6 linked regions of the Mus musculus genome follow. The protein of the gene in region 2 purifies or fractionates together with the protein of the main gene of each other region. This does not show direct contact. Links are inferred from orthologs where the notes say so. Each region holds a gene or a part of one and is shown on either strand. Other genes may lie near its edges.

Region 1 (4,042 bases), on a different chromosome or scaffold from region 2:
CTTGAGGGGGGGGGGCACTGCAGCTCTAATAGGCCAGGCCCTGAGTTCAACTCCCCAGAATTCAAAAACAAACAAAAAACCCTGTGCAACTTGGTATCTATTTCAAACTAAGTTTTTGATTGTTTGTTTGTTTTGGGTTTTTAAAGACAGGGTTTCTCTGTGTAGCCCTAGCTGTCCTGGAACTCACTCTGTAGACCACGCTGGCCTAGAACTCAGAAATCCGCCTGCCTCTGCCTCCCAAGTGCTGGGATTAAAGGCGTGTGCCACCACGCCCAGTTCTAAGTTAAGTTTCAGCTTCAAAACTCTCAGACACCCCCAAGCCCCATCTCTACCCTCCCTACCTCACTATCCACAACAAAATCAGAATTCTTTTCTTGACCACGATTCCCTGAGAAGGGCATTTTTTTTCCTTTTTGAGTTCCCTGCAGGACCTTAATGTATAGCCTAAATTGAGATTCATCAACCCAGGCTGTCCCCCATCTGCAAATGGCAGGCTTTGAAATCTCATGCGAGCTGCCCCTCTTCCCAGCTCCCGCAGGCAGGCACAGCACTCCCGCACTTGGGTGTCTGACTAAGTGGTACAGACTCAGCCCACTTCTTGTCACGTTACATTTAACTGTCAGTCTCACTGGCACCCACAAGTTCCAAATGCACAAAAGGCTTTGTAATTATTCTGGTTACAGCATCTCAGCACAATCCAATGCTGACACCAACAATCAGTCAGCAAACGTCTGCCGATGACCTTGAGACAGGGTCTCCAGCTGCAATGGTTGATCAATCTGAATTTTTGACCCCCCCCACCTCGAAGGCAGGAAGATGGATGTTCACCACCACACCTATCCCTAGGTAGCACAGGAGAATAAAGCTATTGTCTCCCGAATGCCAGGAAGCACTTTATCAGCTGAGCCATATCCACAGCCCTGGATTCTGCCTCAGAGAAACCACTTGTTTTCATTCAGAAGAGAATGGTGTCCTGTAGCTCATATGGGAGGATGGCTATGCTACTGTTACTCAAGACCCTAAAGTAGCAAAGGTCTATGGGAATGATAGAAAAATCAAGGAACTGTATACACAAGAGTACTGAGGAGAAGAGCCACTAGCTCCAACCCTGGGCCTGACAGAACAGAGATCTGGCAAGCTGTTGGCATCCTCATGGCGACCGGTAGATAGCAGGGTCAACTCAGACACATAATACTCAATGTGTTATCAGGATCCATTTCTGGTCCTGGGGTTTTGAGGAAAATGAACCGAAAGGACTCACTACTCAACAAGACTTTTATGTTCACACACAGTCTGCTGTTTTAGAATCTGCTTTTCTCTACAAGTCTCCCCACCTCCAAACTAGCAACTCCAGCAACTGCTGCAATCACATGCCTGCAACCCAGCCACTTGGGAAGCCGAGTCTGAGGCTAGCCTAGGCTATTACAATAAGATGCCATTTCAATACACAAACATGAAAATAAAGGACCTTGTTGAGAATCGTCCACCATACTTTGTAGCACACCTCTGTTTAAAACAATCTCCCCCAAAGCTGCTTCGTATTCAAGACACAAACTGTCACAGAAGATTCGACTGTTCAACAATTCTCATTCTATCGTGTGATGGAGAAAGGTTGAGGGGAAAGCACAAATCACAGGATGCCAGGAGAACATCCAGACTAGCAATCCCTCCACCTTACTTCCCCAGACATCCAGAACAGAGCCCCAGATAGATATTCAACATGTCTGGGAGGGAGAGATGGGTCACTATCGCCTGCAGTGACTTACTCTCCATCTGTCCACAGGAACATGTGTGTCCACGCCAGACAAAAACCTGCAGTGGTGAAAACTGATCCTTCGGCAACAGGAAAAGCTCATGCTATCACGACTAATGTAGAACAGACTGGTGTTACAAACTCATTATCTAACTGTCTCCGCTTTCCGAGTGCTAGGATTGACAGCCCAGAGTAACCTATCACCAAGAAAACCACTTATCCATTAAGAACTCAAGAGAGAAACGAGAACTTTCTATTGTCAAAGCCAGAACTCTCGCCATCATCCACCATACAGTGGGCTCATCAGAAAAAAACGCGGGAAATAGGTGAGATGGATACATTTGTCAGGCCAGCCGTGGTGGCGCACGCCTTTAATCCCCGTACTCTGGAGGTAAAGGCTGGTGGATCTCGGCCAGCTAGGATCACGTGACAAGACGCTCTCAAAATCCAAACCTAAACCAACCCCTCTCAATTCCAATCACCTACCCCGCTAATAGCCGGGCTAGTAAAGTCGCTCTCACTACAGAGCAGGGACTCCCAGGTCCCCAGAGCCTCTACTCCTACAAGCCTTGGGTCCCGCCCCTCCCGGAAGCGCGGCGAGCGCCAGCCTGTGCACGCGAGCGCCGCACACCACGGAGCCGGAGATCCTCATTTACCCGGGGGGAAGCTGGGTTGGGGACCAAGGTATCGTTGACAGGGAGTGACAGTGGGTGACGGCGGCAACAGGGAAGGCTTGGGGTGGAGACAGGGGCCCTTTCATCTGCGACCCAAGTCGGATCCCCTAAAGCAATGCTCGGAGATCCAAGCCCCAACTCTGGGTCAGGGTCTGGAGGGCCGCACCGGCCGCTCTGAGGCGGCAAGCTTGTAGGCCGGCCGGTGAGCCGAGCTCACGGCCACATCCCCCGGCCCCGAGCGGCCGCGGTCCCCGCCCGCCGCGCCTAGAGCCCCCGACTCCTGCCCGCACCGTGGTCCTTACCTGGCTTCATTACTGCGTTCTGGTCGCGCGATTCAGGCAACCTGCGGCGTCCCCGACTCCACGAGTCTCAGGCTTTCGCACGTGGAAAGGAGCGCCTGCGCGCGGTGACGCACGGCGAGTGACGGAAGCGCGTAACCACGCCCCTTAGACGCGCGTCCCGTCTCCCGGAAGTCGGAGTCGGCCCCTTGGGTGGGAGTTCTGAATCCTTTTCCGGCTCTGTCGTGTCTCTACGCTCCTCACTTTTTCCTAGAGTGGCAAATTTTATCACAAGTGCGCTGCGACTTTTCCTCTCACTTATGCTAGCACTCCAGGAATCAGGGGTTATACCGATTTTTAAAAATTTATTATTTTTCAAAGACTTTAAATTTTTAAAATTTTATCCTTAGAAGTGTTTAGCTTGCATATTCGTCTGTCTGTGCACCACGCATACGCCATGGAAGTCAGGAGAAGGCGTCAGATCCCCTGGAACTAGAGTTACCGGCAATTAATTGTGAGCCGCCAAATAGGTGCTGAGACCCGAACCTGAGTCTTCATCAAGAGCATTATGTTCTCTTCACAGCTGAGCTATCTCTCCAGCACAGCCTTATGTTTCTGTTTGTTGTTGAGGTTTGTATTTTATGACAGGGTTTTGCAGTGGGGTCCAGGCTGAGCTGGAACTCGGGATCTCCTATGGTACACTTCGCTTTTCTATTTCTCCTTCCTTTTCCTTTTCCGCTCAAAGAGCTCCCTCCTTTACAGCGAAGAACAGGCATCTCACTGCTTCTGCTCTCTACCCCTGGCCTCTTACTGGAAATCTTCACTCACCCAAATGTTGTCGCAGCTGCTCCCAGGCCACTGCTGGTTTGCAGTTGTTTCTGCCTCTGTTCCTCCTCTTCAGGTCATGAATTCAGCCCACCCTACTGATAAAGATCACATCAGTCGAGCAACAACTGTTGCAGAAGGCCCAGTGTTAATGTTGCACCACCAGGAGGCAGCACAGGAGCGACCGGTCTCCAGAAGAAGCGTCCTAATAGCCAGAACTTACAGCCTTCCGTGCAACTGAAAGATCATTTGCACTAACCGCTGACTTTTTGTTGGGTTACCAGGGGAAATGGTTTCCCTCTGGCCTTGGTGAAGTGGCTGCCAAGGATTATAGAGGCTTCTGATGGCAAAAAGTCCATGTTAAACTCTTGGGGATAGTCAGGGCCAGGATAGTGCCTCCTAGAGCAGGAGTTGTCTTTTAGCATTAAGTGGTGGTCCATGCAGTATAGCTTCCTGGAGGTGTCTGTGGAGCATTCAAGAGCTGCCAGGCTGCCATGACAGTAGACCAGCTG
Region 2 (3,500 bases):
AGAGGTGGACACAGCCCAAGTCCCCGCCCATGCCTGACCTCAGCAAGGAAAGGTAGAGGCTCACATCTCTACTTGAGCCCCAGACCTGAGCTACAAGGAGGAACACACTGTTGGCAAACTCCTGGCTCCTACACTGAGCAGCAGTCTGCCTGGGAACTTGCTCAGTGGGTACTGAGAAGTCAACACCTCAGTTAAACTGCACTCCTGGTATGGAAGAAGGGGCACCAGCTATAACTGCTGTCATAGGCCCCAGATGCAGTTTTCAGCTTTACTATGCAGGGCCATGCAGCCCCTCACTCCTGGTCTCTTTCTGGGCTTCTGGCCCACAGACAGAAGAAGGTTTAGGCAATGCCTGGTGGTAGAGCTGTTCTGATGTACAAATTCCTTCTCTCTGTGAACCTTTTTTTGTTTTGTTTTGGTTTTGGTTTTTTTGAGATAAGGTTGTCTATGTAGATCTGGCTGTCCTGAAACTAGCTCTGTAGACAAGGCTGGCCTTGAACTCACAGAAATCTACCTGTCCCTCCTGGGATTAAAGGCAAGTCTACCACTGCCTGGCTCTGTGCACTCCTCTATCTCTTTATCCCTCATGTAAAAGGACAATCGCTCCCACTCAACTCATGCCCAGAACCTGGAGAAGTTATAAATGAGACATGAAGGTGCTGTGCTGTTCAACATTAACTACCATGATAAATGACGACTTAGCAGTGCCATATACTTTTAGTTTTCAAGCATAAGTGGATCGAGTTTAGTCTCCTTTACTCAACCTTGTTGGGAGGTACGGAGTTTATTACCTGTCTTATACATGAACGAAAAGGCACAGCAGGCGGCTAATCATACAGTAAAGGACAGGCTGCATTAACAAGGATACCCTGCTTGTGATCTGTTCCTAGTCATGGAGTCCAAGGGCTGTCCATGAGGCTGTCAGACAGACAAGAAAGGCCCAAGGTATCTGGCCCATACAGAAGCAGCAGCCATAGGACAAGAAAAGGGAACCTTGCTGCTCCTGCTGGGATCACAGAAATAAGGATGGTCTCAACCAGGTAAAAGCTAAAAGAAAGCAATCGCCCTGCCCAGGCGCACCTTTGTACATCTCTTCTTCTAGCTCAATCTCTAGGGCTGCTGCCGCCTGCTCAATCCATGAGTTGTGCAGACAAGCCTGGAAGTTCCGGTATTCAGCTTTTTCAATCTGTCGGGCTAGACGGATCCGCTCCTAAGGGGGCAGTAACACAAAATATTCATCTGATCAAGAGTCTGGGCCTCTCAGCAAACTTTACTGAAGCAGTTCTTAAGCTGTAATGTGATCAGTGACGAGTGAGAAACAATGCAGATTCTACTGAAACCCTTGCCCAGGTTCCTGCTAACAGCCCAGGTGACCATCACAGCCACAGAAGCCTGACCGAATCTCCTTACAGCTCTGTCTCAGGTGCTAACTTCTATGTGGCCCAGAGTGATCTTGTCTCCTCTTTCTCGTGGGTCTTGAGGTCACTCTGCAGTGACACAATGCCCTGCTCATCCTGACATGGAGAGAGCATGTGCAATGGGAATAAGCACGAAAATGGAGTTGCTCCCAGCAGCCTTAACAGGAATTCTCTATAATCCCACCTCTACCAGCCCCATCTAAATCCTTACACAATCAACGCTCTTGCCCAAGTGGTGACACACCCTTAAACTGCCCCTTGTCTTCACACCCCCAATGCCCGTAGTAACCATCTTCTCTTCACCCTTCTTTATCTCTGTAGTAGGACGAAGGCTCTGCTCCCATCGCAACCACACACCTCTCAGGCCCAGTGCTCCCTGGACACCTCAGCGTGCCGTGGGCTTACCCTATACATACACTGGTGAGCCTCGGGAAAACTACCCCATATTAGTCCCTGATACACTGGGGCCCGGGGTACACAGGAATCACAGTGAATGCTCCTGAGTTAATACAAACGTAGACAGCAAGTTTTACTGTCCCTGCTTTAGGGCACACTAAGCCTTCAGCATTTACCTTGCTGTTCACAGCTCTCTGACAATGTCTATGGCTGAGCTCACTGAGCTGTCTACTGAAGCAGAAGCAGGTGCAGATTTCAGGACCAGATATCAGAGTGATTAAGGGACAAAACACACTTCTCTGGTCACTCCCCCTTTCTGCTTTTCTCCCAGGCTTGGCACTTCCAGCCTCTTAACAAAAGCCACTGCCTAGCCATCGGCAGAACCATTTCTCAATCCCCTAGGATAACTTCTGGTCTCAGAGTAAGGTGCTCTGTGAGGAGGCAGTGCAGTGGAGTTTAACTTTTACCTTGACCACATCCATGTACTTGGACTGCACTGGAAACAGTGGGATGTCCTCATCTTTCTGGAGAGTTTTGTAGATCTTCTTGAAGTTGATCACATCCTCAGGCCCAATCAGCATCAAGCTGAGGCCTTCACTGGCAGCGCGGGCAGTCCGACCACTTCGGTGGATGTAAATCTCTGAGGTGCGAGGCACCTGCCAAAGCAGCAGTGAGGATCAGCACATGGACAAGGTCCACACTGCTCTTGCCCTCGGGGCACACCCCGAAACTGGCTCTGTTTTCTGCAGGACACCAATCTCCCTACTCTGTGGAAAAACTTAGCCCTTCATTCTGACACATAGACTGCCCCTAAGTTAACAGTCTAGCTACTGTGCAGGCTCTGCCCCACTACAGCCTCCACAACTGTTCAGCTCTTCACACTCAATCTGTTTATCTGCTTTTCTTTCATCTTCTCCACTCTCACTCCTCTTGTGACCAATACTGTCATTCTGAATCTCCACATATTCTTCAGCTCTGCATGACCGATGACAGTACATTTATAACCCACAGTTACCGAGTGACTGCTCTAGGACAACCAACTGCAAAACACTTCGTATGTGGTGGTCTGAATGAGATGTTCCCTGTTAAGTTTCAGGCATTTGAATACTTGGTCCCAACTGGCAACTGGCTTTTTTGTTTTTGTTTTGTTTTTTGAGGCCTAGGAGGTATCTCCTTGCTGAAGAGTCACTGGTGGCAGGCTCTGAGCTCACAAAAGCTGGGTCCCATTTCCAGCGTACCCTCTTTGCTTCATATTTGCAACAGATCTCAGCTGCTGCTCCACCTACTTCCCCCCTGTTAGCTCTCCTCTCTTGTCAGGAGCTCACAACCTCTGGAACCATGAGACAAATAAACTGTTTCTTCTCTAAGCTGCCTTGGTCATACTGTTTTACCACAGCAACAGAAATGTAAAGAAGACAATATTATCCTAGACATATAAAATACTTTATCACTGTCAACATATTACAGGAAACGAACGCTCACTCAGATCCACCACTTCCTCTAGGTAATCTAACTCAATGTGGGAGCCAGGATTCAGAGCAGGTTAACCCAGGACAACCTATATAGTAGGCATGCTGTCCACAAACAGCATGGCACGGGTACTGGTGCTCCTCTTCCCTGACGCCTGTAGCATCCGCCACGAATGAAGTGCAGCAGGCTCAGTGTCGCTATGAACCGTTTACCATG
Region 3 (4,272 bases), on a different chromosome or scaffold from region 2:
TATTTATTGAAATACTATTATGCTGTCAACTTAAAAAAAATAACAAGGGCTTGGAAGAAGTTGAAGTGAGGCCAACAGCCTCTTTCCAGTGAAAGGAACCCAGACCCACACACCCATGTGTGAAAAGCACTCTTTGAAAGAAGCTCGAAGCTCATAACCATTCAAACATAATACTAACTACATTTGATTCTCAAAGAGACTGGAATGGGTGCACCATTATGAGGCATCAGTTTGCATACAGAGAATTTCCCTTAAAATTTGTTCAAAACATAGTCGAATCCAGTGGTTACCAACCTTCCTAATGCTGCAACTCTTCAGTATAGTTCTGCATGTTTCTGTGATCCCTGAACCACAAAATCATTTCGTTATTACGTCCAACTTTGCTACTGTTATGAATTATAATGTCTATATACATGTGCGTTCTGATGGTCTTAGACGACCCCTGTGAAAGGTAGTTTGACCCTCTAAGGAGTCACAATCCACAGGTTGAAAACCACCGATCTAAGCACCTGAAGTATTGTTCTCAGTTTTACTAGGCATATGCGGGTACTCCTCTTTCCTTTATCTGGCTTATTGACCCATGTGCTTATTAAATATTTCCTGGAGGTTGGGGAGAGCATGGTCCAGAAGGAGAGGTCCTAGTGTGTTTTCAGACCCTGGTTACATCTCTTCACATCTTAGCATCTAATTTAGTGAATATATTTTTGTGCTAATATTTTTTTGCTGTTTTTACTGACTATATTCTAAGCCTTTTAAAGCTATGATGTAAGAATAATAAACAATAAAGTTTTGGTAATAGCTCCCTCCAGCCCCCACCAAAAAACCCCAAACATTTGAATGCTGAAGACCGGTGTGGTGGTACACACCTTTAATCCCAGATTCTGGAGTCATAAGCAGGAAGATCACTATGACGTTGAGGCCAGCCAGGTCTACATAGCATGTTCCAGGCTAGTGAAGGATACACAGTGGCCTCGATTCATAAACCCAAAATAAACAAAACAAGCAAGCAAACAAATAAATAAAAATAGAACAGAAAAGTCTTTTAAAACCAATCTGGAAGTTGAGAGATTTAAAATGCAAAACTCATGGTAGGTTTTCAAATGGGCTAAAGAGTGGTAGCAAAGTTTGGGTAGATTTTTGATACAATTCGCCATTTTCATTAGATTTCTAATCCCCCTCAAATAAGAATTTTAATAATTTCCCCTCCCTTCTCTCCCTCACCCTCACCCACCTCTCTTCTCTCTCCTCTCCTTCGCTCCCTTTCTCTCCCTTTCCTTCCCTTCCCCTCTCAAAAAAGAAGTTCCCACAGGGCTATACAAGTAGCTACAATTTAGAGCTTGATACAAGAAAACTACCATTCCCAGCGTGCAACACCGAGGTTGCAATGCATCCTGGGAAGGAAGTGTCACGCTCCCCCCCGTCCCCGCCCCATCGGCTTCCTGTTCGTCAGAGCAGAGACCACGCAGGTCTCATAGGGATTATCCGGAACTCGTTTTGCCTTTTACACATTGTAGCCGGCGGGATCTTAAAGAACAGTTCCACTTCCGGGGCCGCCGGAAGCAGTTTTGCGATGGCAACTTCTGCGGAGGCGCCTGCCAAAGAAGCTCAAAAACGTGACTCTCAGCCGCAGAAACAGAAGCGTGAGACCCAAGGTGAGGCAGTGCGAGACCCGAAGCCCGGAGCTGGCGGATCTCGAAGCATCTTTGTCTCTTTCTTTGGCCGCGCACTTGGGTTGAGCCTCTTTTAGGCTGTGCAGTGCCTGCGGTAGCCGGGGTAGCCGAGGGTTGCGGGTGTTGATGGCTGCGCCGGCCACGTGCAGCTAACGCAGTGTTTTTGCCAGCGACCGTCCCTGGCAAGTGTACCCGATGCGCCTTCTGTCCCCGGTAAAAGTGTGAGGACTCAGAGATTGTGGAAGGCGCGGCAGTTCTGCCTTGAGCTTTGGGGAGGGGAGGTTGAGAGGATGCGGATCAGGATCAGGTGGGAGAATCTTCGTGTCCTGCGAGCGCCGATGGTGATGAGGGAGGCGGACGGGGAAAGGTGGGGACGGAGCTCAATGGGAAGTTTTGTCAGAACTTTTATCTGATTATTAAGTTGCTAAATGACACAGCTCTCAGTCTTTAGCTCTAACCCCTAGTTTGATTTTTGGCTGCTCTAGTTTGATTGCTTCTTTCCGTTTTGATGAGAGTTTGGTTTTTACCTACCTTCAATTTAAAAAGAAAAATTTTTTTCTTTTAAAAACTAAGTACGTAAAATACGGCAGGGACTATAGACACCGGTAAAAGCTTCAAACCAACGCTTGAGGAATTGACAGGATGAGTAGACCATCTTCCTCAAGTTATCCATGTGCCAATCACAGATGCTATATAGCTTCCTTTCTGGTACCCGGAGTAATTCGTTCGAGCTTTCTGTCACCTATCTACAGCTATTATGATTTTTAACAAAACGCTTCGATTTTTGTCTCCTTTTGAATCATAGGAGAATGAATGGAGCTGTGTACTCTATGTATGTTGTCTGTGTCTTTAGCTTCTGATTCTTTACGATGCTGTGTAATATTTAAATTCCGTCGTTGGCGGACATTTGAGCTCTGCCTTCAGCTTGCTCTTGTAAGCACCTTTGTGCATGTCTTCTGGTAATGCCTCAGGGTCTCTGTAGGAATTTAGGATTGGAAACTCAATTGCAGGGTATCTTCAAGTTATGCTAATGCTACCGGAAGGAGCTGTGCCAGGTTTTTTTCTGTTTTAGGAAAGGTTTGTTTACGTTCAAAGCGTGAGGGTATAGTCAACCATGGAGGGGAAACTGGGCCAGCACAACTCTAATAGTTGAGATTGCTCATCGATCTAAATTTACAGTGATTTTTTTTGTTGTTGTTGTGTTTTGATTTTGAGGTCCTGGATGTACTTATATAGCTAGACTTTCACCCTAACCTAATAAGCAAGTGATATTCTTGGTCCTAAGTGGCCTTAGTTCCCTTCCCTTTCCTCTACTAGGGTTCACACATTCTGTCTTAGGAAGGTTTAACCCTGGGCCTGAGTTTGCTTGCTTGCTTTTTGTTTTGTTTTGTTTTGTTTTGTTTTTGTTTTTGTTTTTTTTTTTTTTTTGTTTTTCGAGACAGGGTTTCTCTGTGTAGCCCTGGCTGTCCTGGAACTCACTTTGTAGACCAGGCTGGCCTCGAACTCAGAAATCCACCTGCCTCTGCCTCCCAAGTGCTGGGATTAGAGGCGTGTGCCACAACCGCCCATGTTCCCAGTTTTTATAGGATTTTAGTTTGCAGTTTTTAAAAAGAAGGTATTGGAGAATGAGTGGTTTATGAGGACCCATTGTCAGGAGTTTGAACCAGAAGTGGCAGAGTGAGTGGAAGTAGAAAGTACATTTTCTTACCTGTGGCTAATAACGTGGGCCAAGGGCCTGCCTTTCAGACCTCGGTGGTTTAAGGACAGGATGACGTTTAAGCACAGATCTCTGGGCCTCACCCCAGAGATGCAGATTCACTCTGCCTGAGATGGAGCCCCAGATGGCCTTGCCCACAAACTCCCACAGGTGTGCTGACGCTGCAAGATCAAGGATGGTTCTCTTCGGGTAGAGTTAACGTGTAGCTATTGGATTTGAGGGGTTTCTAAAGTTCTGGGACAGGGAGTTTTGAGAAGTGAAGCAGGCTCTCCAGAGGTGATCTCATAGTTGTCAGGATTTTAGGCCATTTCAGCATTTGTCCTTCTGGCCTGTCACTCCTTTTGGTTTGAATATCTTCTATAAAGTAGAAATAGTAATAGTGGCTTTCTTTTATTGATGAAAGGTGTGTATAAAGCTCTTTGGAAATCCTAAAATTGTATTACAGTGGCTGTTAATTGACATTGTACACCAGAATCCATTTTTAGGAATTTTTTACACACACAGACATGTGGGGGTGGGGGTAGGACTGTACCAAGAAAGTCAGAAAGGCTATTAATAATAAGGGATAAAAGTGATAAGGTGTTTGAACCACTTTATTGTGCAGTGAAAGTGTCTTAGTAATTGCTGTCTACCGGTGCATCCCAGTTAGAGTGGGTACAGGGAAAGCATCCTTGTGATGAGGCAACTGCAATGTATTCAGATGATCCTATTACAGCATCATGATGATGATGGGGCCGTGGTCATGATGCTGAATAATGTAACAACCAGGGATGCGGATATGAAACAATGCATTGGTGATCTTCTGAAGATGTGCATAGAGTGCGCACGTGTGTGAAGGACCATTCCATGTGATGTGTGAATTCTTTCCTCTGTAGATGAGGCGGA
Region 4 (4,225 bases), on a different chromosome or scaffold from region 2:
TCTTCATCTTCAGACTCTGCATCTTCCTCTACAGCTAAAATAGAATTAGACATACTAACTCGACAAGAACAAGTAACCCATAGCATTTTTAAGATTCCATTAAAGGTAGCAAATGAACAGAAAAGATTTACTGTATTTTAAAGACAGAAATCAGGTCTTTGTAGAACTACGACAGTCCAAATGGAAGTCTAGATTGAAAGATAGCCTCATTGGTCATAGGGTCCTGAATAGCTGAACCCAACCAAACACATTCGTCGTGTTAGATTGATCCCCAGAACTCATGTGATAGCAATTAAAGATGCTAGGGAAATTGTCTTGTCTGACCAGGACAAGCATTCCATGGCAGATGTGCAAAGATACAAATGTTTAAAATATTAAAAAAGCTAGCCTATATTGAAAACTATGACAAAAAAAAACCTACCTACTAGATGCTGTCCACTAATGTGCACAGGCCCTGAACCACACTTCAACCGTAAGACCACAGGTGGTGTAATTTCAAAGCCCCCTAGGGAAACCTAAAAATAAGAGTTTTACAACAGATATTACCAGCAAGTTCTACAATGAAATAAACCTATTTATAATAGCAGCAGAAATAATCTTGGTAAAAGATACGTCTTTGCAAAACCTAAATGACACTGACCCCAAATGACGCAAGAGACCTGAACCAACATGAAATCCAAAATTTAGAAATGTACTTACTGTTGGTTGTACAGACATTTTCAAAGTTGCCAGTGTTACTTTAATTGGACTGCCTTCATAGTTCATTGCTTCTGCCTCTACGATGTGTAACTCATCTTTTGCCCCTGCTCCTAAACTGACCTGTGAATAAAAATGTTTCAAAGAAACTTTTAAAGTGGCTTTTCACCACTACTGACGAAAAGAAAACTAGTCATCTCACCATTAGAATTAGAATTGAAGCGTTTCACAACAGAATTACCATATACACAACTGTTCCTTTAAATGAATAAAGCTGGCAGATTAAAAACAAGCACTGTTCTACAAAGCACCTATCTAGCACCTTGGAGTGACCAAGCTATACAAAATTACAAGTGACAAAGATCCCCTATCTTTTCTGGGATTAAACTCCTAGTTCATCAGTAGGAAATGTCTGAAATGTTTTTAAGTTTCAGAGCTTACATACCGTTCTTAATGACAACTGGTGCTCATTTTCATCATTATCCACTTTAAAGTGATAGTCTTTGTCAGCCTTTAGTTCACAGCCTGTATGTAAGACAAAAACAAGAAAGCAAACCTAGCAATGATACTTACATCAAAACCCAAAGCCTAAAGTTCTGTGAAATCAACTCAAATGAAACATTAAAAAAAAAAATCTTTAATTTTCTCATAGTACTAACTACATTGAGGCAACATTGCTGGTTTCCACAGTAGACTTAATGAGTCTCTTTAAAGTAGTATGGTGAAATCGGTATAAACACTACTAGAATTAATGAACGAGTGGCAGAGTTCACTGTTCCTTTAATCTCAGGACTGTTAAAAAGCTAAAACGTGAATCACTGAAAAACAAACTGATTCTTTTAAACAAAAACTGGGTGTAGGGTAGGCAGCAAGACTATAGATGTGATCCCCAAAAGCCTTGATGCTAAAGCGAATCTTGTCTGTTCAACAGATCCTTCCCTCTCCCCACCCCAAGAAAAAGTAGTTCTAGATAGAGCCAGGTAGATGATTTAAGGGTACTCCTAACATTAAGCCACGTGGGCCATCAGTACAGCTATCTGCAACGTGATGCTGACTCCGCCTACCAGAGGCAAATTAAAAAGGGGGGGCTCCATCACTGTGGATACTGAAAGATATGAACAAAGATCTCAAAAACCCATACGCCACGGGCTATGAAATAAACATTTCCCTCCCAGAACTTTTAACTAAGCCACAAGATCCCACGGCTGAAGGTTGGCTAGAGTCGGAGAGCCCGGATGTAGAGCCCACACCCCCTCCCTAACCCCCAACCACGTGGCAACCACGTGCTCCTAGGGGTTGCTGCCCCTTCTGCCTCAGGGCGCCTGCTCGGACCATTCCCCGTTACTGGGCGAAGCCCTCGGTCGCCACAGAATACAAGATGCGGCCCCTGGAAAGCCCAGCGCCTGCAGATGTATCCTCCCCAACAGGGCGGAGGTAGGCCTCGCCTCGCTCCACAGGCCCCTTTCTCCCGTGCCGCCTGCCGTGGCTCAACACAAGAGGAAAAAAAGGAGCTCGGAAGCGACCGTGCGGGCTTTCGTGCACAGGAGAAACGCCTCTCAAGTTCGCGCCACAGGCAAGGTCGCACCCTCGCCGGCCGGCCGGCCGCTCCTAACACCCGAGGCTACAGGCTGGGCCGCTCCCGCCCCATTTTCCGGCGGCTTTCCTAGTGTTCAGGCCGCTGCTTCTAAGGCCTGGGAGATTCCTCCTTGCTCTCCGGCCTCCACCTACGCCGCGTTCCCCACACGCCAGGCCTCGGCTGGGCTCCCGCCCCCCCCCCCATCACCAGGCCCTGCACACGCTTCCCCCTCCAGTCAGTTACCGAAAAGGTAGTTCTGAGGCCTAAGAGGACTCATGTCCATATCCATCGAGTCTTCCATGAGGTGGAGGCGCGCACTTCGGTGTGGGAGAAGCCGGACGGAAAACAACTGCCTCCTGTTCCACAGAACAGACGCGCAGGACGGAATCACGCCAAGGAAAGGACGCGGGCTCTCCGCACGTATATATGGTCGCAGGAGATCTCGCGAGATCTGCGCTAGTCCTGCCTCCGCGAGCCTCCTCTGGATCCCTCCCACTCCCCGCACAGTCGCGCTTTTGCGCGTGCGCCTTTCATCCTCACGCCTAGGTACCTCGCCCCCCTCCTCCTCCAGGTGCTTGGCGGGCTCTCACTGCGCACGCGCGTTCGTCTCTGGCCCCGTCCCTCCACTACTGTCGCCCAAGCGCAGGCGCGTTTTCTCTTTGTGGCCTCGCTCTGGGTTTTCAGGGCTTCCACGTCTTCTCCGCTCGTGCTCGCGGGCCCAGGGCCGAGAGCGTGCGCAGCCCACCCTGAAAGATGGCGGCTGCAGCCAGGGAACCACAGAGCGTCTCTTTTCTCCACCCTCCGTTCCCCGTAGGCCTGGAACAAGCATAATCACCTCAGGATTTGGCTTGCTCGAAGGCTTGCTCTTCGTTTTCACGTAGCTTCAGGAGCCCAGGGCGGAGTGGCTGGATCTAGGCTACTTTCCCCGCAGCCATGCTTTTGCACCTCTTTTCTGAGGCAGCATTTTCAAAACGAAAATTATCAGCTTTATGTCATTTGGGGACCAAAGAGAAACCCAGTCAGTCGCCTCCAAAGAGCATCTTTCTAAAACTTTAGAGCGTGCAGAACTGAGAAAACGCAGGCCGTCTTCATCATTCCAAATGAAGGCCTATCGCTTTTTTAGAAATTCATGAGCCTTAATACGAATCTTCGGCTGGGAATTAGCGCTTTAAAATGAATCCTGACGAACATCCCTCAGCGTTGGGTGCTTTCTGACAGCGGCCCTAATCTTTTTATCTCAACATGGAGCTAGCATATTTAAGAATTTGGGGGAGGAATGTAGATAATGGTACCAATGTTTGTAGACTCCAGAGACGTGTCAGATATAAATGCATGTGAGCCCATTACGTATCAAATCCTAAATTCGGAGATATCTGTCAATATGTGAATTTCAGTTTGCAACTATAAGGAAAAAATCATGAAACTTGGAAGAATTGTGTGTGTAAATAAACAGAGAAAAAAAAAAAAAAAGTCGGGCGTGGTGGCGCACGCCTTTAATCCCAGTTTGCGGGAGGCAGAGGCAGGCGGATTTCTGAGTTCGAGGCCAACCTGGTCTACAGAGTGAGTTCCAGGATAGCCAGGGCTATACAGAGAAACCCTGTCTCGAAAAACCAAAATAATAATAATAATAAAATAAACAGAGATAGACTGGGTATAGTGTGGGAAAGAACGGGTGAACAGAATTTGACCATCCAAACTGAGAAGGTGCAGGAGGAAGCATTGATACCCCTTGAGCCTGTGCAAGCCAGACAGTTTGATTGTTTCTGGATTCTGAAGCTTATTTAAATGCAGCTCATGCTGGTTTAATCCCAGCACTCTGGAGGCACAGGCAAGTGGATCAGGAGTTCAAGACCAGTGGTCTACAGAGCAAGTTCCAGGATAGGCAGGACTACACAGAGACTCAGTTCTTCCTGCCTCCCCGAAACTTTAGGTGCCTTAGTTGTCACTGAATGA
Region 5 (4,111 bases), on a different chromosome or scaffold from region 2:
GAGCACTATTAGAATATTAATCCATTTCCAGATGTGATTTACCAGTAATGAAACCTTTTCCCAATCTTGAATTATGAGTGGGGGTGGGCATGGTTGGAGTTAGAAATATAAACTATATAAATAACTCAAAAAAATGTTAAGATTAAAATGCTAAATCTATAGATGCATGTCTAATTTCAGTAAGTTATTCACTCAAGGAAACAATTTTCCTTAAGCTGGGCAGTGGTGGTGCACACCTTTAAACCCAGCACTTGGGAGGCAAAAGCAGGATTTCTGAGTTCAAGGCCAGCCTAGTCTACAAAGCCCAGGACAGCCAGGGCTATACAAAGAAACCCTGCCTCAAAACAAAACAAAACAAATCAAAAAACAAAAAAGGTCAATTTAATGGCAAAAGCCTGGTGTGGGACAGTCTTTAAAAAGATAGAGTAATAACAATTTAAATTGTTAGCATTAAATTGTATTCATCTCTCCTTGACTCAATACTCAAAATCTCACCGACCAGCAATGTTCTATTTTGTTTGAGACCTAGCTGTCCTCAAACTCACAAGAGGGTGCCTGCCTCCGCTGGGATTAGACACAGCCCCCACAGGCAGTGTTTTGCTATCACAGGCTAACAACCTTTAGAGTCCCAGCACATGACCTCCTGCCCAACTCTATTTTCTGCAGATGAGAAGATGGAACAACTGAAGATGCCAGCACGAATCTGTTGTCACACTCAGCATGGGAGGAAGGAGCTGGGCAGACATACCTCCAGAAAGCGAGAGTGCAGGGCCTGCTCTGTGATGTCGAGCACTTCAGGGTTATAAATGCTGCCGTTGTCAAACACCTGCTGGATGATCAGCCCGAAGGAGAAGGGGGAGATGTTCAGCATGTTCAGCAGTGTGGCCTCGCTGGCTCCCACCTTGTCTCCAGTCTTTATCAGCTGCACATCACTCTGAGGAAGAGAACAGCAGGACAGTTATCATCTGGACACACAGGAGGCCCAGCCCAAAGGACCGACCACTGCAGGCCATCTACTCACCAGAATTTCAATGGTGCCTCTGGAGATTTTCGTGGTGATGCCCAAAGCCTGGAAGAAGGAGGTCTTCTCGGGTCCTAGACCAGTGTTCTGAGCTGGCACAGTGACCTCACACGGGGCGATGGCACCAGCCCGAGCAGCAGCTGGCACCTAAACAGAACAGAGGTAGTCGACGGTGAAATGCCTCTCCATCGGTGAAAGCCCCGAAATGGCCAAATCCTCATTCATCGTCCCAGCCCCTTACCTTATTGGCCAACAGCATATCCCGAATCTCAGTGAGGTCCTCCTTGGTGAACACGAAGCCCACGTTCCCCCGGATGTGAGGCAGCAGTTTCTCCAGAGCTGGGTTGTTCTCCAGGTGGCCCCTGATAGCCTTGCGCATCATGGTGTTCTTGCCCATCAGCACCACGGCCTTCCCTCGGAGCGACATGCGGATCTGCTGCATCTGCTTGGAGCCCACGTTGTCTGCTCCCACAATGAAGCATTTTGGATAATCATCCAAAAGTTGCTATGAAGGAAGCCAGGAAAAACTACATTGAGAGGAAAACAAACAAAAAATACCCAGCAAAACCCGAAACCCTGCTACCTCTACCTCCCCATTGCTTCACCCTAGGTGTGACACTTCTCGCTAGGAGCCAGCCACCCGAGCCCAACGTCTGTCTTTATCTGATCCAGCTTCCTTGCTGGTTACGAGTATCACAAAATTACTGTCACAGCCAAAAATTAACTTTTAGCTGGGTGTGGTGCCACACCTGTAAAGACAGGTAAGGCTTAATTGCTAATCCGAGGCCAGCCAGAGCTATAGGGGGAAGACTTGCCTCAAGTAAATCTTAAGCTTTACTTTTTAAATAAGGCGTGCCTGGGTGACCAAAGTGACTCTGATCAGGGAAGAGACAGACTTAAAAAGCACAGAAAACAAATTATAGAGAGGTCGGGGGATCTTAGGTTGTGAAATATAAAAGGTACTACCAGACCCAAAAATCTTTGTCTCTGTCTCGGAAAAAAAAAAGAAAAGTTAACTAAAACAGACTGGTACCTACAAAGTCTGGTAGCTCTGGTTCAAAGCCACCTCAAAGGCCTTTTGTAATTAAGTCACTCAACAGCAGCCTGACTGGCAGGTCTCAGATGGGCAACAAGATGAATCACTCCAGTCTCAGCCCTTTGCACAAACGCGAAGGGCTCGACGAGATGAAAAACTGGGTGAGCGAGCTAGTTCTGGAACGCGGGGGGGGGGGGGGGAGATCCCAAGACTACAGAACTTCCCCAGGATGCCCAAACTCTGTTAAAGCGCGTGGCCAACGACCGCCCCGGGAAGACCCGGAGGCGGAAGCCGCGCGTCCCCGGCCCGCTCCACACTTACGATGATCTTGAGGAAGTAGTTGGACTTCCAGGTCGCCCTGTCTTCCCTGGGCATCACGGCGGTGCGTCAGGGATTGCCACGCGGGGTTTAAAGACGATGTCACTGGGGAGAGAGAGGGGGCAGCTTGAGCCCGGTAACCCCAACACCGGCCCCGATCCCAGGCCTAGGCCAAGCCGGCCACGCCAGAGCTGGGCCCCGGGCTGCGGCCGCCAGCAGCGCGGGCGATCCGACAAGCCAGGCGGTAGACCGGACGGGCAGAGCCCGGCCGCGATCCTTCCCGAGCCCATCGCTCCCACCCGCAACGTCCCCGCGCTCTTGCCGCCCTCCCACAACAAAACAACCCCCCAACCTCCAACGAGGACGCCTGGCGAGAGACGGGCCGCATGCCCGCGTGTGCCTTTTATAGGAGAACCAGGCGGTCCTCGAAACCCGAAGACGACGTCGTCCATGCCTATTGGCTGGTTCCATCGACTGTCCTGCCTCACTCAATAAACATGCGCGTCTATTGGCTGAGACCGCTGCCACTCCAGCAAGTCGGGAAAGTAAAGACAGCACCCGGCCGCAGGAGGCGCGCTTTCAGACCTGCTGCCCTCTGCTGGGTCGGAGCCGCCCTGCAGCGTCACCGAGTCAGTACAGCAAAACAACTTTCTGCGAAACCCTAGCTGATGCTCTAGTCTCCTCTTGTTCTTCCATTCTTTTTTCTTTCTTTTAATTTATTTATTTTTTATTTTTTTAGGTTTTTCTGTATATCCTGGCTGTCCTGGAACTCACTTTGTAGACCAGGCTGGCCTCAAACTCAGAAATCTGCCTGCCTCTGCCTCCCAAGTGCTGGGATTAAAGGCGTGCGCCACCACTGCCCGTTTTGTTCTTCCTTTCAAAACCTACATCTTCACCCGCACAAAGTTAATCAAAGATTGCCGTTTTCTCTGAGTAAACGCCTAAAACGTAGACTATTCTCAAGGTCCCACACGACTGTTTCCACTGTCGCAATCTGTTTTCTTGCTTTCCTACTGATGTGTTTGCCTCTCGCCTGATCCCTTTGCCCTTTTATCCCCTTCAAGAGTATGCCTTTTTTTTTTTTTGGTTTTGGTTTTGGTTTTTCGAGACAGGGTTTCTCTGTATAGCCCTGGATGTCCTGGAACTCACTTTGTAGACCAGGCTGGCCTTGAACTCAGAAATCCGCCTGCCTCTGCCTCCCAAGTGCTGGGATTAAAGGTGTGCGCCACCACCACCGGCTTCACAGCTTTTTGAATGGTGCTGGCCAGCTTCGGTCAGAGAAACTCACCTCCCCCACATCTTGCTGCAAATGCTATCTACTCAAGGAGACCTGCCCTGATTCTTGATTTCAAATTTTAAGGGCGGGGGCAAAACCAAACCTACTCTCCCTTACTCTCCCACCTTCTCCTGCAGCACTTACACCATCTAACTCGCTGTATAATTCACCACATTCTGCTTGTCAGCCTCTCCCTGCAGGAAGGTAAGCTCCACAGGGCAGAGATTTTATTCTGTGCCTGCCAGACAGTGGGCAGATAAGTATTTGTTGAGCAGGCAAAACGCAGGGCATGCGGCCAGATGAGACCCGGATCCATAACTTTGTTCTGCCGCTTGCTGTGTTGTCTTAAAAAGCACTTCCACTTTATTGACCGTTTGCTTTCCCTTCCAGGGATACGGGAGAAAATCGATACATAAAACTAGCTTCTTCACATATATATATATATATATATATATATATA
Region 6 (3,500 bases), on a different chromosome or scaffold from region 2:
CAGGGCAAGGAAGACTTTCTACTCTCTTACTCTCTGCTTCACTTCTTTCAAACTGCCTCTTACTGAGCCCGGAGCCGGGCTACGGCCAGGGCTGCACCTCCCTCACTGAGTCTGATCTTGAAATGTGATTCTTTACTTTTGGTCTTGCCCTGTGTAGACTCGGCTAAGAGGCTGCACCCAGGCCTCACAGACCTGTAGCCCATCTTCTGCTCCCCATTTGAATCCCCTAACATCCCAATAACTAAAGGTTAGTGACCTCTGGTTTGGCATTCACCACTCACTGGGTAAGAAATGACCTCAGGCTGCACTGCCATCCTTTTCCTGGCTTATGCCTATCTAACCCCCAGTTTTCTTTTCCTTTTTTGATGACATAAGGTCTCTACAGAGCATTGGATGCCTCTGGACTTAGAGAGATCAGCCTGCCTCTGCTTCCCAAGTGCCAGGATTAAAGGCGTGTACCACTAATGCTGGGCTTTAACCCCACCAGTTTTCAATTTGAGCAAAATTCTTTCCAATCACACATTAAAGATGGGTCAGCTTCTCTTCCGAGTACAATGTCACGAGTAACTTTGTAATCCCATCACAGTGCAGAAAGGTCAGAATACTTACATGATAGAAGTCTTTCACCAAAAAGGTAGTTATCCATTGTTTCTGCAACTATCTTGGCAACATCCTCAGACTCAAACTCCACAAAGGCATAGCCTTTGCTGTTTCCAGTCTGTAACAGAAAAACCCACAAAAGAGCAGTTAAGTCTAACTATCACCAAGCTCCTAAAAAGCCCCAGTCGCAACTTTTACTATTTCAAAGCCGCTGGCCCCTGCCCCCATCCCCCAAACTAACACACAGACAGACAGATAAGACAGTCACAGCTTGGAATATAGATTTTCTGGTATCCTTAAAATTCGGCTTAGTATGATACATCCCTGAGTATTCTGGCTACAATGAATTCAGTAGTACTCGCTGGTGGTAAGAAGGCTATCTTTTGGGCTTTCACAGTTCTGGATTTGTCTACTCATTTCTCATTTCATTGGCAGTCTTATTTGGCACACACCAGCGAGGGCCAGATTTTTTTTCCTTCATTAAAACCCTAGCAGTCTGGGTAATCCCAGACTGGAATCCCAGTTACACAGGAGGCTGAGGCAGGATCTTGTGAGTATAATGAGGACAGTCTGGGCAACTAAGTAAAACTGTCTCAAAATAAAATAGCAATGTAAGCCCGTGCTAACCTATCGTGTTTCCCCTGGTTCAGTCCCCAGTGCCAGAGGAGAACACAGGCAAGCTCAACCTCACCTCACACATTAAGGGTGGGAACAACCTCCAGGAACAAGCCTCCAGGAACTTGCCCTGATTTCCACAGCCTAGGCAAAGGAACTGGTCTGGACTTCCTAACCCCTGTACCAGCTCATGAGTGGATTCCCACACCCAGAATGGTCATAAGTATAGGGTGGGTTCTGGAGTTCAAATGTCTATATTTCGATCCTGGCACTGACCTGTGTTAAGTAACAGACTGTCATTCCATGAAACGAGGGCAATTTAAAAACTCTCATCAGAAGCCGGGCGTGGTGGCACACGCCTTTAATCCCAGCACTCGGGAGGCAGAGGCAGGCGGATTTCTGAGTTCAAGGCCAGCCTGGTCTACAAAGTGAGTTCCAGGACAGCCAGGGCTATACAGAGAAACCCTGTCTCGAAAAACCAAAAAAAAAACCAAAAAAAAAAAAAAAAAAAACCCTCTCATCAGGATGCCACGAAAATACCAATGTCCCACAAAGCTCAACAACATATTACAAAAACAAACATCAGCAATTCAAAGTTAATTTCAGTTACACAGACAGAGTAAGGCCAGGTTGAGTATCAACCACCAACCATCTCCTACCAACACTTCCAACCACACCAAAACAACAGACTACCACTGCAAACTAACAGATCCTTTGAAAGGGAATTTGAAAGGACATGCCATTCCAAGAACAAAAATCAAGGGCAGTGAAATGACTCACCAGACAATGGCACTACCTACCAAGTCTACCTGACTCCAACCCCAGGAAACACAAGGTGGAAGGAAAAAAAACAAACTAGCTGATTTCTACATTCACTCCTGCCCCATTCTAATAAATAAAAGTAATCAAGAAAGAAAGAAAAGAAACCAAAAAGCCAAGGGTTGGATGCCCAACACAGACAAAAAGGTGGGTTTAAGCCCCAGCATCATAACACAGGCAAAAATCAGAGTTATGAAGTAGCAATGAAATAATTTCATGGCTGTGGGCCGCCGCATGAGAACTGTATAGAAGGGTTGCAGCATTAGGAAGGCTGTAGGGGCTGGAGAGATTGCTCAGTGGCTAAGAGCACTGGACCTGGGTTCAATTCCCAGCACCCACATGGCAGCTTCAATTTCCTAGTTCAGAAGCTCTGATGCCCCCCATTCTGGCTTCTGCAGGTACTAGGCATGCATGCGGTTCACAAACACATAGACAGGCAGAATACCCAGACAGATAAATAATAAAAATTCCCTTTAAGCTGGGCATGGTGATGAGTGCCTATAATCCTAGTAATTGGGAAGCAGAGGTAGGACAGCTACAAGTTCAAGGCCAGCCTGGTCCAGGTAGCAAGTCTGGGACAGCCAGAACTCCACAGTTAATCTCCGACTCCAACCAACCAAATCAAAACCCAACACTTTAAAGGTGCTTAGAAGATGTAAATTTAAAAACCTGTTGAAATACATGGTCTCTGACATGCAAGTGATGGCTCATCCTAGCATCTGAGCCACTTCTTGGCTCTCGAGCTGGAACCAAGTTTCTGGAGTAAATATGGACTCATTTTTCACTGCATCTCACTAGCTGAACAGTGAACAAAGATTGCATCTCCTGGTAGCTGTCAAACAAGTGCAGTAATACATCAAGAATCAGATGTATTTGGGGAGCAACCTCTAGAGCAAGTGAGGAATAGCTATCCTATGAGACTGTAGAGTCTACAGGATTTAGAAGCCATGACTCAGGCAGAGGAAGTGGCTACTAAGATTAGCAGGAAGCTGGAGGAACTGAGGAGAAACACTTGACAAAAGGAAAGAAAGAGGCTGCTGGCTGTGTTGGCCATGGCACCTGCAGGAGACGGCAGTTACATTCCAGACGAGTTCCAGGAGACTCAATGACCCACAAAGAAAGCGCCAAAGCCCACGAGCCTCCTCAGGACAATGCAAGACTCGTCTTCTCCTTCCCCACACGCAAACAAAAGAACAGATGGGACAGCACAAGTCTCCCAAGAGGAAGAATTGCTCAGGGAACTAGGAGAGGCAACCAGCGGGAGGAGTCCCCAGGGGAGGAAATTCTCTTCCAGGGAGGAATCAGTTGGCAGTAGGCCTCAAGAAGGTGGTGGTCACAAAGCGACAATTTCCATCCCCTGACTTAAACCCCGGTAAAAGCAAATTCACAAAAAATGATTCCTGTGGTTTTAGGGGCTCTATTAGAGAAACCTTACATAAACCAAACTTAAGTTCATTAACCCCAGG

Evidence for each region.
Region 1: the proteins of Ddx24 (region 2) and Fbl purify together in Homo sapiens (affinity purification with mass spectrometry; 3 studies listed by BioGRID and IntAct, with this or other methods). This does not show direct contact. The link is inferred for Mus musculus from reciprocal best matches to the Homo sapiens genes DDX24 and FBL.
Region 3: the proteins of Ddx24 (region 2) and Krr1 purify together in Homo sapiens (affinity purification with mass spectrometry; 3 studies listed by BioGRID and IntAct, with this or other methods). This does not show direct contact. The link is inferred for Mus musculus from reciprocal best matches to the Homo sapiens genes DDX24 and KRR1.
Region 4: the proteins of Ddx24 (region 2) and Npm1 purify together in Homo sapiens (affinity purification with mass spectrometry; 3 studies listed by BioGRID and IntAct, counting the BioPlex papers as one, with this or other methods). This does not show direct contact. The link is inferred for Mus musculus from reciprocal best matches to the Homo sapiens genes DDX24 and NPM1.
Region 5: the proteins of Ddx24 (region 2) and Rplp0 purify together in Homo sapiens (affinity purification with mass spectrometry; 3 studies listed by BioGRID and IntAct, with this or other methods). This does not show direct contact. The link is inferred for Mus musculus from reciprocal best matches to the Homo sapiens genes DDX24 and RPLP0.
Region 6: the proteins of Ddx24 (region 2) and Nifk purify together in Homo sapiens (affinity purification with mass spectrometry; 3 studies listed by BioGRID and IntAct, counting the BioPlex papers as one, with this or other methods). This does not show direct contact. The link is inferred for Mus musculus from reciprocal best matches to the Homo sapiens genes DDX24 and NIFK.

The regions. Positions count from the first base shown.
Region 1 is NC_000073.6:28,168,506-28,172,547, reverse strand, and holds the start of Fbl (rRNA 2'-O-methyltransferase fibrillarin), read right to left. Parts: upstream 2,801-4,042; 5' UTR 2,740-2,800; coding exon 2,730-2,739; intron 1-2,729.
Region 2 is NC_000078.6:103,408,848-103,412,347, forward strand, and holds part of Ddx24 (ATP-dependent RNA helicase DDX24), read right to left. Parts: intron 2,471-3,500; coding exon 2,282-2,470; intron 1,211-2,281; coding exon 1,081-1,210; intron 1-1,080. UniProt on the Homo sapiens protein: ATP-dependent RNA helicase that plays a role in various aspects of RNA metabolism including pre-mRNA splicing and is thereby involved in different biological processes such as cell cycle regulation or innate immunity.
Region 3 is NC_000076.6:111,971,223-111,975,494, forward strand, and holds the start of Krr1 (KRR1 small subunit processome component homolog), read left to right. Parts: upstream 1-1,472; 5' UTR 1,473-1,570; coding exon 1,571-1,652; intron 1,653-4,262; coding exon 4,263-4,272. UniProt on the Homo sapiens protein: Part of the small subunit (SSU) processome, first precursor of the small eukaryotic ribosomal subunit.
Region 4 is NC_000077.6:33,160,407-33,164,631, forward strand, and holds the start of Npm1 (nucleophosmin), read right to left. Parts: upstream 2,801-4,225; 5' UTR 2,574-2,800; coding exon 2,516-2,573; intron 1,222-2,515; coding exon 1,142-1,221; intron 820-1,141; coding exon 700-819; intron 516-699; coding exon 422-515; intron 35-421; coding exon 1-34. UniProt on the Homo sapiens protein: Involved in diverse cellular processes such as ribosome biogenesis, centrosome duplication, protein chaperoning, histone assembly, cell proliferation, and regulation of tumor suppressors p53/TP53 and ARF.
Region 5 is NC_000071.6:115,558,156-115,562,266, reverse strand, and holds the start of Rplp0 (60S acidic ribosomal protein P0), read right to left. Parts: upstream 2,801-4,111; 5' UTR 2,728-2,800; intron 2,481-2,727; 5' UTR 2,433-2,480; coding exon 2,379-2,432; intron 1,527-2,378; coding exon 1,263-1,526; intron 1,169-1,262; coding exon 1,022-1,168; intron 935-1,021; coding exon 749-934; intron 1-748.
Region 6 is NC_000067.6:118,324,843-118,328,342, reverse strand, and holds part of Nifk (MKI67 FHA domain-interacting nucleolar phosphoprotein), read right to left. Parts: intron 719-3,500; coding exon 610-718; intron 1-609.